Oryzias latipes: one gene and its partners. The protein of the gene in region 3 purifies or fractionates together with the protein of the main gene of each other region. This does not show direct contact. Links are inferred from orthologs where the notes say so. Each region holds a gene or a part of one and is shown on either strand. Other genes may lie near its edges.

Evidence for each region.
Region 1: the proteins of mtmr2 (region 3) and sbf1 purify together in Homo sapiens (affinity purification with mass spectrometry; 6 studies listed by BioGRID and IntAct, with this or other methods). This does not show direct contact. The link is inferred for Oryzias latipes from reciprocal best matches to the Homo sapiens genes MTMR2 and SBF1.
Region 2: the proteins of mtmr2 (region 3) and mtmr10 purify together in Homo sapiens (affinity purification with mass spectrometry; 5 studies listed by BioGRID and IntAct, with this or other methods). This does not show direct contact. The link is inferred for Oryzias latipes from reciprocal best matches to the Homo sapiens genes MTMR2 and MTMR10.
Region 4: the proteins of mtmr2 (region 3) and sbf2 purify together in Homo sapiens (affinity purification with mass spectrometry; 3 studies listed by BioGRID and IntAct, with this or other methods). This does not show direct contact. The link is inferred for Oryzias latipes from reciprocal best matches to the Homo sapiens genes MTMR2 and SBF2.

Annotation. Positions count from the first base shown.
Region 1 is NC_019881.2:9,364,711-9,368,544, forward strand, and holds part of sbf1 (myotubularin-related protein 5), read left to right. Parts: intron 1-1,817; coding exon 1,818-1,955; intron 1,956-2,029; coding exon 2,030-2,125; intron 2,126-2,280; coding exon 2,281-2,349; intron 2,350-3,834. UniProt on the Homo sapiens protein: Acts as an adapter for the phosphatase MTMR2 to regulate MTMR2 catalytic activity and subcellular location. Promotes the exchange of GDP to GTP, converting inactive GDP-bound Rab proteins into their active GTP-bound form.
Region 2 is NC_019861.2:21,153,666-21,157,499, forward strand, and holds part of mtmr10 (myotubularin-related protein 10), read right to left. Parts: intron 3,792-3,834; coding exon 3,655-3,791; intron 3,242-3,654; coding exon 3,169-3,241; intron 2,310-3,168; coding exon 2,167-2,309; intron 105-2,166; coding exon 11-104; intron 1-10.
Region 3 is NC_019872.2:15,990,797-15,993,761, reverse strand, and holds the end of mtmr2 (myotubularin-related protein 2), read left to right. Parts: intron 1-72; coding exon 73-165; intron 166-260; coding exon 261-374; intron 375-515; coding exon 516-692; intron 693-778; coding exon 779-943; 3' UTR 944-2,250; downstream 2,251-2,965. UniProt on the Homo sapiens protein: Lipid phosphatase that specifically dephosphorylates the D-3 position of phosphatidylinositol 3-phosphate and phosphatidylinositol 3,5-bisphosphate, generating phosphatidylinositol and phosphatidylinositol 5-phosphate.
Region 4 is NC_019861.2:19,894,608-19,898,441, forward strand, and holds part of sbf2 (myotubularin-related protein 13), read right to left. Parts: intron 2,908-3,834; coding exon 2,712-2,907; intron 2,042-2,711; coding exon 1,914-2,041; intron 1,004-1,913; coding exon 828-1,003; intron 702-827; coding exon 568-701; intron 496-567; coding exon 297-495; intron 1-296. UniProt on the Homo sapiens protein: Guanine nucleotide exchange factor (GEF) which activates RAB21 and possibly RAB28. Promotes the exchange of GDP to GTP, converting inactive GDP-bound Rab proteins into their active GTP-bound form.

The DNA of each region.
Region 1 (3,834 bases), on a different chromosome or scaffold from region 3:
AAATGGTGATTTTGGTGTTTTTAACATGTTTCTGTAGCATTTTTCTCATGATGGTAAGGCATATTTGAAGAAAATGAAGATCAAAACTCCATTTCTGAGTTTTCTTTATTCAAATCGGGAGCAGATGAAAACATTCAGTTTAAAAAGGTTGTAGCAGTGATGTTGGTGCTTCAGTCAGCTGGCGAAAAGAAAACTCCTTGCTCCGCTTCATTCTGACGCATGAATCTACATCTTTGTTTACCTCGTCTGAGCTGGATTTTGGATCTAAACTGTACGGCTGGATAGGTTTGGTGTTGCACCCATTTTTACTGCACCGCTAATGTTAGCTTTGGTCTGTGAGAGGCTGTAAGCTAATGGGACAGAGTGTAAAAAAAAAAAAAAGCATGATGGGAAATGGGGGTTGGCTTGCTTCCGTTCCAACAGTTTAGTCCAAATCTCAAGGGGGAATTTCTGCTAAACTCCTGCATCTCTGCAGAAACTATGTCATTGAAAGCGACACAGGTTTTTGGATTTTTTTTTTTTTTTTTTTGCAAATATCTTTTTATTGTTTTTAAACACATGAACAAAGTTAGAAGCATTGAAACAGCATATATTTAACAAAAATCCAAAGAAAATGAAAAATTAGTACAAGAAGGTACGTAGAGTTGTCAGGTTGAAATTATCCTCCTATCTAGGATACTGATCACAGAGTTAACAATTTGTCATGACCTTTTCTTGTTTTGTACATAAACCATTTTTCCCAGTCCTTCAGAAATTTGTTTTCCTTCATTCTTAGTTTGTATGCAAGTCTCTCCATTGTTTGTATTTCTTCCACAATATACATCCATTGCTTGTGTGTTGGGGCTTCAGCCTTCTGCCAGTTCTTAGTTATGGCTTTCTTTGCTGCCACAAGAAGAACTTTTACTAGATTTTGGTCCGTTTTATGTACTGTTCCCTCTAAGTAACCCAGATACATCACAAGACAGGTTCGGGGTATCTTATAACTGAGTATTTCACATATAGCAGAGTGAATGGTGTGGTTTTTGGATTTTTACTAAAAACTGCATCATTTTCTTTACCCTTTGAAAATTGATCAGAAGATGATTGGAGTGGGACTTGAATGTTTGTTGCTTATTTTAGGGGTTTTCAATGTGTTATTCTTTGATTGACAGGTGGGTGGACTTATGGGTGAGCTCAACAAAACCCACTTTACATTTCCAGAATGCTGAAGAGTTCAGGCCATTTGCCCTCCCCATGTTTGTTGAAAAGCCTGTGGGTGACGTCAGAGATGATCCGTCTAATGGTCATACAGTATGTTTAAGATTTATTAAGCAGGAATCCCATCTTGCGGTTAAAACAGTCACCAATTAGTAGCATAGTCAAAAACATTTCACTTTGCATAAAGGGAGCACAGATTTAATCAGATAAAAACTGAGATCTCTGAGGCAGAACACAGAATAAAATTTAGTTTTCTCACGTATACAGAGATTTCTTCAAATTCTCTCAAGGAGGATTTGATGTATTCAATCTCTTGATCATTTAACGGAGAATCATTAAATAGATATTTATTATAGAAACGGTTGTCACAGCAGCCGTGTTGCCGACTGTTCTTATTTTGCGACTTTTACATGTTTTTGTTGTAGTTTAATTAAACAAGTTTCTGCTTTAGAAAGTCTTTTTTTATGCTTTTAGATGTTTAATTCTGATTTGAATCTAAATCAAACTGCTGGTGATGTTGTGGTCCGTCTTTCCTGGTAACCAGGAAGTCCACAGATGTTGCTGCTGTCTCGTCTTTGTCTTCTAAAAACGCTGTAACAGGCTGGCGTGTTTTTGTCCAGTTCCCAGTCAGGCCGACTCCACCAGCCTGGAGCAGGAGAAGTACCTGCAGGCCATCATCGGCAGCATGCCGTCCTACAGCGAGAGCAGCGGCAGAAACACGCTGAGCGGCTTCTCTTCCGCTCACATGAGCACCTCAGGTGAGGACGCCCAGTTACGCACTGGAAACACCGCTGCCAGAGAAACCTCTCATCTCTGCGTCTTCTGTTTCCAGACTCTGCAGATAAACTGAGGCAGCCTAAAATCGGGATGCTCATGAAGCAGGTGATGGGCGTGAAGGAGGAGGTTCCCGGGACGTTCAGCAGAGGAGGTGAGGTCCAAACTGGTGTGTTTTGGGCAGTTCTGGCTTCTGTTCATGTGAGTTTTGGAGCTGGCCTGGGACAGAGGAGGAAGCGGATTTGGGAGTCATGTAGGGAGAAGGTCCTCTTTTGTTGGTTAACTGGCATTTCTGTCATTTGACCTCAGCTCAGGGTAAAAGCGTCAAAGTGTCCTCTCAACCCAAGGGGCCTAACAAGGCCAGGAACTCCCCCAGAGGTACAGTAGGCCACGCCCCTCAGCCCTTCCTTCACTCGTCTTTAACCAATCAGGTCTCTAACGGTAGATGGGTCTTTTTGTGTGCTAACACTGCAACGTTGCTGCTTGTGTTGTTGTGTACACGCTGCAGCTCCGGCTGAGCTGCGTGACGTCCTGCTGGTTGTTTCTCCTTCAGAACTTTAGACTGTCAGTGTGGCGTAGCCGTTTCTCTAGGACGACGGGAGGCTGGCAGACTGGATCATTCCAGCTCCAGCACTAGTCGTCCCTGCGTCCTGCAGCCTCAAACCCCTTATGATCCACTTCTGCTACACTCTGCTGTCTGTGTTCACATGATTTTACAGGAAAGGCTCCATCTGATCTCACTATGAAGGCATGATTCCACCCAAATAAACAAATAAAGAATCAAACCACAGCATAACGAATCTAAATATTTGTTGCTTTTGTTTGATGTTTCCTTTCAGTTTGTGCCAGTACAAATGAACAAATACTGAAACACAACAGCAAATCACAGAACAAATCAAATTTCCATTAAGCAGCCGGCCGGCAAGTGCAAAACGCGACAGTAGAAAGTGGAGAAAAAATGAACGCTATCGAACGAAAGCTGCTAACGGAATGGGGATTCCCTTTAACACCGAAGGTGTTGTACATTTTCATTGCATTAATACAATTTTAAAAAATTATTTTGGACTGTTTCATGTATTTATAACATAAAGAAAACAGTAATAAATCACTTTAAAAAATCGTATATGATTGGTTTAATATGACGTCCCTTTCTAGCTGTGTCTATATGACCGTGTTTCTGGATTTGGTCATTTGTAATGTGATTTGCTTTTGTGTTTCAGGACTCTGTAATTTGTTCTGTGATTTGCTGTTGTGTTTCAGTATTTGTTCATTTGTACTGGGATTTGTTGTTGTATCTTAAATGTGCGCATGTCTTGCACCCTCGCCCACCGTAATCAGGACAAGAAAAACTGCTTCGTACATCAACTTCAGATTTTAGTAACAAACTTAAAACAAAATATTGTTTTAACCAAAAAGGTCACCCAAACCACACACCCCAAAAGAAAATCAAGTTCAAATTTTAAAATAAACCAAAAAAATGTTTGTAAAAGAACAAATGTGCAAAGAAAATCTGTCTTTATTAAATGTTATATACGGTTATATGTTGTATGAGTACAGCAACATGTAAATGAAAAATATCCATCCACCTTTAGGGTCCTGGGGCTGCTGGAGCCTATCACAGCTGCTGTTGGGTGAGGGCGGGGTTCAGCCTAAACAGGTCACCAGTATGTAGCAGTGATACACAACCACGCACACAGTCCACCTATGCAGCATGTTTCTGGACTGTGGGAGGAGGCCAGAGAAAATGCACAGTTGCATGAGGAGAACATGCAAAAACTCCACATCGGAAAACCCCAGCCAGCAGTCCAACCAGAGTTGTGTGACAGCAATAACAATAAAAATATTGTGTCTAAAATGTAAAAC
Region 2 (3,834 bases), on a different chromosome or scaffold from region 3:
CTTACACTACCTTTAGATTCATGGTATCGCCGTCCCTGATACTCAAAACCAAACAATAGTTGAATATCAGCTGGATGAGAATAGTGGGCGATAGCAAGGCAAACCTACAGAAAAGAAAGGCAGCAAGACTTTGACAAATAACGATAGAATATTTCACATTTAATTAGACATGTTTTATGGTGTACAGTTAATTTTGTAGTTTTTAATCTCCATGTTGCCATGTTGACAATTATTACAGTCCTAATAGCCATTTCATTGACTTATAGCATCTAGATCTACATAGCTTTAATATTGTTGCCCAGCATTTGCCAAAATCTTATGTTGAGTTTCTCCTTTCACAATAGTAATTGACCATCTATAGCAGGGGGTCAGCAATGTTTATGACATCAAATGCCTATCTTAAATTCTCTCCTTAACAACTGCGTCATCATCCACTATAATGTGAAATCTAATACAAAGAAATACAAAAACACTTCCAAATATATCTGAAATGTTATTGAATCCACAAACAGCAGGTCCAATAGCTTTTTAAACCTATTTTGGCATAACTCAAAAAAGTGCCTTCATAACAATATTGCACAAGGAAAATTGGCCAAAGTTGCAACTATGTTTGAAACTGTAAATACTGTGCATTTGTTGTATGTAATACCTACAGCAATTGGATTGGATACACCAGAACAAATTGCCATCAATATTTCTAAGAACTTCACTTTCATTAACATGAAAATAAATAAGCCTATTTTGATTTATTCATCTTTTGTTACATTGTGAGACAGTCCCCGAGTTCCTTAATATAGGTTAATTCTGTGGTGGTGCTTTTATTGCATGTAAAATTAATTATTTTTACTTTTTCATTAGTTTGCTAATTATAGTAATATAAATGTTCTGCAATTGGACAGTGTCATTATTAATTTTTTTCTACCCCAATAAATGGAATGATGATCAGCTGTAGTATTCCTTTTAAACTTGCCCAAATTTCATTTTAACATTTGGCAGAACAGAAGAGAAGTCTGGGTTTAATCTGGCCTTGCTTGGTTTTTTATTCAACAAACTGAACTTCTAACTTTAGAAATGTCAGCCGCTGTGACGCCGTAAACATGACCAAAATAACCAGCTGTGCAGTCATAAACATGTACTACAGCTTCTTGCATTTCCCACTAACGCAGACGCTCACAGTCCATCCACAGACACGCTCATTTTGCCCCACCTGTCATCTCACCAGCAACAGTTTGCAAACAGCACTTATTAGGTTTTCATTTCATTGTGATAAACGTAGTTATTTTTTTCCTACGGTGTGGATTTTAAATCGCCTGTTCATGAGGACTGACATGAAAAAGTGGGCGGGGTCACAGTAACAGCGATGCGTGAATGTTCCCTTTCCTTATGATCCAATAGGATCATCACTGGAGCCTAACAAAGCTGCCTATTCAGGAGAAACACTGAACACCACCAGAGGACACTGTGTGTGAGAGGGGTGAGGCTCTGACCCTGGAATTTCCTACACAACATGATGCTCTCACAGGTAGGAGAATTTCACATGTTGAGCAAGAGAACAAACAAAAAAAAAAAAAAAAACAAGTGCGCTCAGTGTCAGGTTCTCAACATTTCCAAAATAAAGTCATAGAACAAGAAGGGCAGATTTGTTCTGAGATCCTATGGAGTTTGAACATTTTCCACTGTGTGTTAACACATACAACAGGTACAGCATGACTTCACATCTCCATTAATGAAGTATTTTTAAAAAGCAGCTTGTAAATTCCCAAAATAAAAACAATACACATTTAAACACTTTAAGCTTTAGATTGCATTTGAAATTTAAAATGTACAACTAAATTTATGTAAACACATCTTAAGCCAGTCTTAGTCAAATGCTGAATAATATGGAAGTAGTTTTGGTAAATATTTTTGGGGGATTTCAGTCTTTTGAAAATTTTGAAACCTTAATTATTTCTGCCTTGATGTTCTTTAACAGTAAGGAATATTATCACATTTTATTCAATAATTTGTTAATCCATAAATCAACTTTCTCAACCGATAAATCTGAGAGTTAACTGATAACCTTTCCAATATTCTCAATATAAGAAAGTCTAGAAAAAGCCTCTTCTAAACCTATATCTAATGATTGAACAGTAGAGAAATTTTACATTAAAATACTTATTAATTTACCTTTCTTGCACTTTCTGGTCCCGCTTCATCAAAGCAGAACCGTATAATGCGCAGGTCTTTGCAGTACAGAATGAGCTCAGTGGGATTGAACTTTAGTTTCTGGTTAGAACTCAATATCTTCTTTTTTCCCTTTAAATCATTAACTGAAAAGACAAGAGACAAAAAAAGAACGACATTAGCTAAATATGTGAGATTACCTGTTTTTTAGATTAGCAAAGGTGCATCAAGACTCTTATTTGTAAAGCATCAAGGTAGATAAAGCGATACTTTGGACTCGTTTTCTCTTTTTCAGCATTAACACCTGGGAATCGTGAAGTTATTGAATAACCCATAAACTCTTCTGTAAACTAAGGTATTTGACTCCAATGTAAAGCCATGTGTCCATCAGCTCAAGACTAACCTAACATTGGGTCGCCAAACCAAACAAGAGTCAAGAGAGCATCAGCAACTACTATTTTCCGCTGCAAAAATACAATTTGATATCAAATGTCTTGAATCCACTAAAATATTTACAAATCCTCTTACTGAGCAATGCAAGAACAAGTGCCACCTAAATACCAGTAAATGAAAACAAATATGAACTGAGTAAGTGCTACACATTCGATCACAATGATGTAGTTAAGAAAACATCACTAAAATTATACCATCATTTATCTACATTAAAAAAAGAGTGCAAAGAAACATAAACTATACTGATATTAATGAATATTCATGACTAATACTGAGTAAACCAAACTCTTATGCTTCCCCACCACAAAACACACAACTTGAATGCTTCTGAAAACAACTGTCGCCAATGATGTGCAAAAACATTACCAGGCGTCATGACAACAGACCATTTCCTTAGATAACTTAACATACATGTTATCAAGCTCACTCGTGAAAAATGACTGCTTTGTGCTGCATCTGCTGTTCTGTTAAAGTATCATAGACATGACAAGGAATGCAATTCCTTATAAAGAAACTGTGTATAATCATAGAGTATGAGCGAATTAAGTTTACCCGTCACTACTTGGTCCAGACATGTCAGAGGGATATCATGTTCTCCAAGGAGGAGGTGGAAAAGCTGGGTTCTCTGTAAAGGAGGCAATCAAAAGAGGTTGACATCTAATCAACTGTGTTGTTCCTATAATATGTCATGCTGTTGGCTATATAGTATGCCAAGTTCCTCAGACTGAGCAATGATCTACTTCCAGTTTGTTATCAAGCCAACCATCTGCTGCAGCGGTGAAAATGGTTTCTGTTTTCTCATTTCTTGTGCAACATCGATGATCAAAAAGCATTCCTTCCTCTTCGCTAGGTGCATTTTGTGCAAAATCAAAGTTCTGTGCGTGTTTGATGATACAAAATATAAGCCATGCACTAAAGCTGCAATGCTTCATTTTGACATAATCACTTCTCTGTATGGTGATAACGAGATAAGGTTGTAACATCAATGTTTTTGTAAGTTAAAACATTTAAATATAATAATAAAATCCCATCAAATACCTGTTTTTGTGGAGGGTCTTGGGGAATGAAAGAAACCTTGAAGTTGGTGCATATCAGCTTCCCCCAAAGATCGTCCTGACTGTTGTCGGTGCTGATGCATTTCTTCACAAAGTTCACCTCATTGACCACTATCTCACCTGAAGCATGAAAGGATATTAAAAATAAATAAATCACAAAAGC
Region 3 (2,965 bases):
TTTGTTTTGTGAAGGCCTGTCTAGCATGAAGTGAACATTTAGATGTACTGATTGTCCTCCTGACTCCTCCAGCGTATCGGTCATGGAGATAAAAACTACACAGATGCAGAACGGTCTCCTGTTTTTGTTCAGTTCGTTGACTGTGTCTGGCAATTGACTCGCCAGGTAAGTCACAATTAGTTCATATTTAGAACAAGAAAAAGACTAATATTGTATAGTCATTTAACAGTTTGTTTGTTTTTTGGTTTGTTTTGTTGAAGTTTCCTTCAGCTTTTGAGTTTAACGAATACTTCCTGATAACCATCCTGGAACACTTGTTCTCCTGCCTTTTTGGGACATTCCTGTGCAACTGTGAGCAGCAAAGGTTGAAGGAAGTAAGGCTTTTTTGCATCTTTCAGCTTTTTATGGTTTTTAGAATTAGTATTCTGAGATTTTGGTTGGTCAGGTCTTAAAAGAATTAACCATAAATGTTGCATAAAATTGTTTAAAAACACATCTTCCCCTCTACTCTGCAGGAAGTTCCCAAAAAAACAGTCTCACTGTGGTCCTACATCAACAGCCAACTGGAGGAATTTACCAATCCTTTTTATGTGAACTACTCCAACCATGTACTGTTTCCTGTTGTCAGCTTACACCATCTGGAGCTTTGGGTCAGTTATTACATCCGCTGGAACCCCCGCATGAGACCCCAGGTATGTAGTCAAATTTAACCTGACTTTTTATTTATTAAGAATCCATCTGTGGCGCAGAGCACTTCCATGTTTCCCTTCTCTTTAAGGAACCGCTTCACCAGCGTTACAAGGAGCTGCTGGCGAAGCGTGCCGAACTCCAGAAAAGAGTCGACGAGTTGAAACGCGAGGCAGCAAACCGCTCCGCTTCTTCCTCCTCCGAGCGCCCGAGCTCTCCAACACGCTCTGTCACTCCAGTGCAAACCTTTGTTTGATGCACCTTGATCACGTGATCGTCACAGAGTCTGAGTTTACTCCGTGTTGGAAGGGCCAAACAAGAGTAATCATCAAGGCTACACTGGGAGCCATTAAAGGCCTGTGAGCCAAACTGCCTCTTTAAGTGACAACCAGAACTGAAACATGACACAAAAAGTCCAAATGAGCAGAGATTTATGTTGGCATTTCCAATGTGTGTCAGAGCACACTGGACAAAGGCCACACTACACTACATCCAAAGCAAAAGGATATTTAACCAGAATATATAAGGGCTGTGTAGCATAAAAGAGCTAATTCACTATCAGTGGTTTTTAAATATATATAATCCAGATTTAATGCGACATAGAATCACTCATTCCACTCTCTTATTTGTCTGAAAAACATCAGCTAAAATACTACTAGTAAACATAATTATGCAAATCTGAGAAACACTTGTGCTTTTTCCAAGCAAATTATTCTTTTTGTCATATATTAATGTTTACCATAAATGTCTCTGTCTTTTTTCCTCTATTAAAAATAGCAATAGATGAGGCCATGTCTTCACAACTTTATCCTATATTGTGACCTGCCTCTACATAATGGGTTCTGTGTGACATTCCTTTCATTTTAAATGATTTCCCTTTTCTAACTTTTTTTTTTTAAATAGCTAACCTTATTTATTACTGTTTTCTGTGTTTCTATCTCTAAACCATTCTGATTTTCATCTCATCAGAATTGTAGAAGTCTTCATGCAAGCCTAAAAAGCTATTAGGAATATGCAATGTGCGCCAAGTTATTCACTTGACATGTTTATATGCAGAACAGCTACTATTGCAATGTTTATCAATTCCAATAATTGTGTGCCTTTGCTGAATGACTGGAGGCAACAGAAACGTCAAGTTTGGTTGACTCTTAAATAAGAGCACTGTTAGCCTTTAGCTTCTCCACTTTATTAAAATGTTGTTTAATATTTAAGCCAATAGAAGTGATTGTTTGGTTTGTTTATGATTGAACACTATTCCTTCCTTCTGGGATTGAACTGTTACTGTTTTTATGTTGTTGTTTTTTGTTGTTTTGTTTTTTTTCAAACCAACCCAGATCACTGATTGTCTAAGTATGTTAATAATTTTGCTGTAATAGAGTGCCTTTTCGGAAAAACAATAACAAAGATGAAGTTTAAAATATGCTGTTTGTAGCACTGCCTCAATACACTACTAATTTTCTCAATAAAGCTGGTCATATTTATACACTTTGACTTTTAATTGGTATGTGGCCAGTAATGGTCTGTTTCTTCCTCTGCTTTTGTAATAAATGTATACTTTGCAAATGGGTGTCATTGAATCTCCCTTTAAGCTGTTTGGTATTGTAATCACCAATTGCCACATCTGGGGGGTATTCCAGGAAGCACGATTAAACTACCCTGACTTTAACCCTGAACTCTTGCTAATATCCGCCTGAACTTGCTTACTCTGGGTATGTCGTTTCCAAAAGACCGGATATGAGTTGGCGTAATTACGCTCGACTTGGTAACCCTGGGTTAATGCACGTGCACGGCAAGCACATAAAGGCATTATCAATGGATCACCGACATGTCGAGTCACCATGGAAACGCGTGAAGAAAAAAAATAGAGCGCTATACTTCAGTGAGACGGAGTCTGAGATTTTAATGATGGCGTATGAAGATTATACGCCCATCAAAAAGTAACACTGCTGCATCAGCAAAGGAAAGAGTTTCTGCTTGGAGAAAAATAACGAACAGAGTAAACGCACAAGTTTCTGATCTTATTTCCAATTACATTGTGATGTATTTACAACTTATAAAACTTAAATGAATTGATTCAGTTGGTAACAAGTAATTGAGTTAAATTTATTCAACCTAATTTCTTATGTCTATCCAACTCGATAATTGTTTATACAACTCAAATTTACATATTTAACTAAATGTCATATTAGTCCAATTAAATTAAATGTGTTGCCATCTTAATTAATTGTACTTCTTGAAATCTCGTATGTCTAAGTTAGAGGCTGCAGAGTTCCTCATT
Region 4 (3,834 bases), on a different chromosome or scaffold from region 3:
GCTGGTGCCACCAGGGAAGAAAAAAAACACGTTCTGATGGAAGGAGCAGCTCAGTGAAAATATTCAGGAAGTCCACCTGCTGTTGCCAGATGAAAAAATTAATCACTGCTGTACTTTTCCACTGGGATTTTTTTGCTTATTTGTTTAATTAAATGAAGGTTTTGACTTATTTTTGGACCAAGCTGTGACTAGTGGCATCAGCGGGTGTCTGGACAGATGCACTGGGAAATAAAGACCTTCTGCTGCGAATGAAAACACGTGCGAATCACAAAGGCTTTCTGTGAAAGTCGGTTCACCTGCGGCAGAGGGAGTACAGCCTGTTTACAGCTGTGATCCTGAACTGCTCGCCTGACTTGGAGCGAGATGAGCTGGCAGTGATGGTGCCCAGGCCCAGACGCTGGTAGTCACGGAAACAAGACTGTTCCACCAGCTGCTCCATAGTGGACTTCTCTGACGCCCGTAAGGTGCTGCTGGGTGGAGGCTCTTCGTCCGATACTGCAACAGACAAAAATCCACTGTTTTTGTGTCTCCACATTGACTCTTTCGCTGCTCGTTCATTTCTCTCACTTGAAATGTCATCGTCTTCATGATAGATCATCCGGCTGCTTCGGTCAGCCTTTTTCAGTGAATTCTGACTACCAAGGCCCATGGTGATCTTTCCAGCCCGTTTGGCTCCTTTGACTATGCTCTTAGACAGTGTTCTGTGATAAACACAAAGCAGAGGTGACATGCAAAAAGGAGTCAGAGTGGTTTCAAAATAAAACTTCTGGTTCATTTACAGTAAACAGGAAGCTCTGATGCAATTTCCAAAAAGGGGTTGGGCTTACTTGAGGCCAGTGTTACGCTCCTTCTGCTTTGGAAGGATCAGTTGAGGGGTTGTTTGTCCTGCTGCAAAGGCAAAGGAGCTGAAGATGGACTGAGGATAGCGGATTCTTTGGAGGTGTTTCCTGAAGATCTCCACCATCTCTGAGCTAACTTCCTCATCAAAAGCTACCTTTATTAGCTGCAAGAAAGCCATCATAACAATAATTGTAAAACCCAGGTCAGGTATTGCAACTCAACAATATGTTTGCCTAAGGAAGACATGGGATGGACTAAAGAACCCCCAAACATGGGGGGTAAAATCCAGGAATTTACAGTAAAAACTCTTAGAGCTGTACATGCATGCTTTACTACATAGATTGACTCTCTTCTGTGTATTAAATGCCTTCTTTAAAGAATGCAGAGTCCACTGCACAGTTCCACATCTGGTGTTATATGCACTCTTCCACCTCCCATTGGCGTGCTGTTGCAGCCTGGTTTCACTGGCCTTCAACTCTGCCTCATCAACCTTGAAAGTGGGTCTGTTATATAAACCTTGCTCATTTGTCGCAGCTGGGATTTAATGTGAGCAGCCTGCCTGAGTGTCAGTTACCAACTGCGTTTTCCGTTGCCTTCGACTGTATTTTATGGCGCTGGTTGTAACAGTTGTATGACAAACAGCATAGGGACAGGGCACCTTGTGTGTGCGATCGTCGTACGACTTTTTGTGTTCAACTTTGCTTGATTGTTTGTTATTTGAGACTCTAAAACTGCATAGAACTGATACAGGGAGACGTAGTTTGTTGCTAACTTACAACAGTGAGTCTGTTCTAGCAGTAGCAAAGAGCTGTGCTGTTCTCTGTGTCCGTGTAACATAGACTTCTTGTAACATCAAAAAAAAAACAACAGCCCAACAGGTGAGTTAAAGAAATGGGGTTTAGCCACAAGAGCTTTCAGGGTTAGTGTTGCTTGAATAGCACACTTTGACCAAATAGAGCCATCAAATGACCTAAAAGATTATTTTGTGCATTTTCAACTAAAGGAAATCAAGTAAATACAATTAAGAAAATTAATTGATAGAATCCCTTAGATTAAATTGAAAGAATGTGAACCTGGAAAGATGCAGACCGGAGCTGCAGGCCTTCCTGCATGTGCTGCTGCAGCTGGTTCTGAATGCTGATCTTCTTCTCTTTGGTCAGAGTGGACACAGGAAAGGCCCTGATAACCGTCTGCTCTCCCACTGCAGATGTACAAGGACAAAGATCAACATGTCTGAGCAAACAAAACCGTTAATCAGTTTAATCTGAATTACATTTTTAACCCTTGTGCCATCCTATGAGGTCAAGATGACCATTGACATGTTCTCCCTACCATGACAAAGGTGGATAAAGGTGGAAAGATTTCATGTAATCCATGGACACCAGTGAGGTTCACAAATCATTGAAGAAAAAAGGTTCAGAGCACTGTCTAGTGGGTCTAGATGACCCAACTCCCAATGTTAAAGTGCCTAGGATAGCACAAGGGTTACAATTTGACGGTAGGCTAAATTGAACAAAAGAGGCACAATGTTAGAGCATTTAATAATTTAAAAATAAAAAATTGACTAATTTAAAAGGTAAAGTCCAACTATTGTCACACATCAGAGCGTAGGAAAATGTGTTCTTTGGGTTTGACCCATTCCTTGGGGGAGCAGTGAGCTGCAATCAAAGCTGCACTTGTGAACAATACTGTGCTTTAACTCCTCCATCCAATCACTGAATGCTCCATGTCAAGCAGAGAGGCACTGGGCCCCATTTTTGAATAAATTTGGCATGACTCGACTGTAGACTCGAACCACGATCATCCCCACTCAGGGTGGACACTCTACGACAAGGTCACTGAGACAAATTTACTTCATGATCAATAAATACCTAGTGGGTCGTGAGGAATGCCTTTGAAGATTATGCGATATGTGGTAAGAAAAAGGGCCCCCTCTGCTGGTAGAATATGGGGGCCCCCGAGGAGGCCCCCAGTGGCTTCCTCCCTGCCGTCTGGGTCCAGCATCACCCGCAGCGCCTCCGACACAAATTCCTCACCAGGCAGCAGAGCTGGACGCAAAATCTTGGGCTGAAAGGAAAGAGCACCTCAGCACAGAACACACAAGCAGCAGTGTACCTGACTGCAAGCACGTACGCGCTCAAAGCCAGGCTTTCTTGATTGACAACAAGGCACAGAAAGCTCAGGGGTGAGTGGAAACATTTGCGTCAGAGAATCCGATTAAGGAAATAAATTCATCATCCCACTGTCAATTCAGTGCGCACCATGGCCTTGTTGGAAAAAAAAAAAACTCATGTGAACATCATCAGAAACATGGATCTTTAAAAGTACCCTAACCGGACAGCAATCATATAACCTTTTTAAACTAAAATCATCCAAGAAATATAATTTCCAACTCTCTGAAGAGATCATTTTTACATTTTGGCGCTCATGCATAACTTATAATCTGTTTTTTTTTTGCAGAAGTGGTTGAGATTTATTGAACTGAAGGCTGCTGTTCACCTTATGTTTAGAACTTTTGGATACTGACAGACAAACACTTAATTTTTAAACAAAAAACCTTTTTGTGTTTCCTATTTTCTTTTCTATCATCTAAAAGTGAAAACTGTGCCAAACCAGCAGCCAATGGCTTCACATTTTCCAGAAATCACACTCTAATCTTTCAGAAAGTAAATACTTCAATGGGTGCACAAGATTCTTTCAAATATTCCCAATATTACATGTAGATGCATCAAACTAAAAGGACTGAAGTAACAGGAAAAAAGAAATGGCTTTAGAGACCCAGTCTGATCACAACTGTGTTTTGGTTGTTTTCTTGGTATATTTTTCTGATGATGGAGGACATACAGAAACAAAATTCACCTCAAAACTGCATTTCTGAGTATTTCTTTATTCAAATCGTTGTGAATCAGTAGCAGACACAACAATGCTGTATAAAAAAAGGTGGTATTTGCTTCGTAGGAACTCGTGCTGCCGGGCCACAAGCTCCCTGCTCCG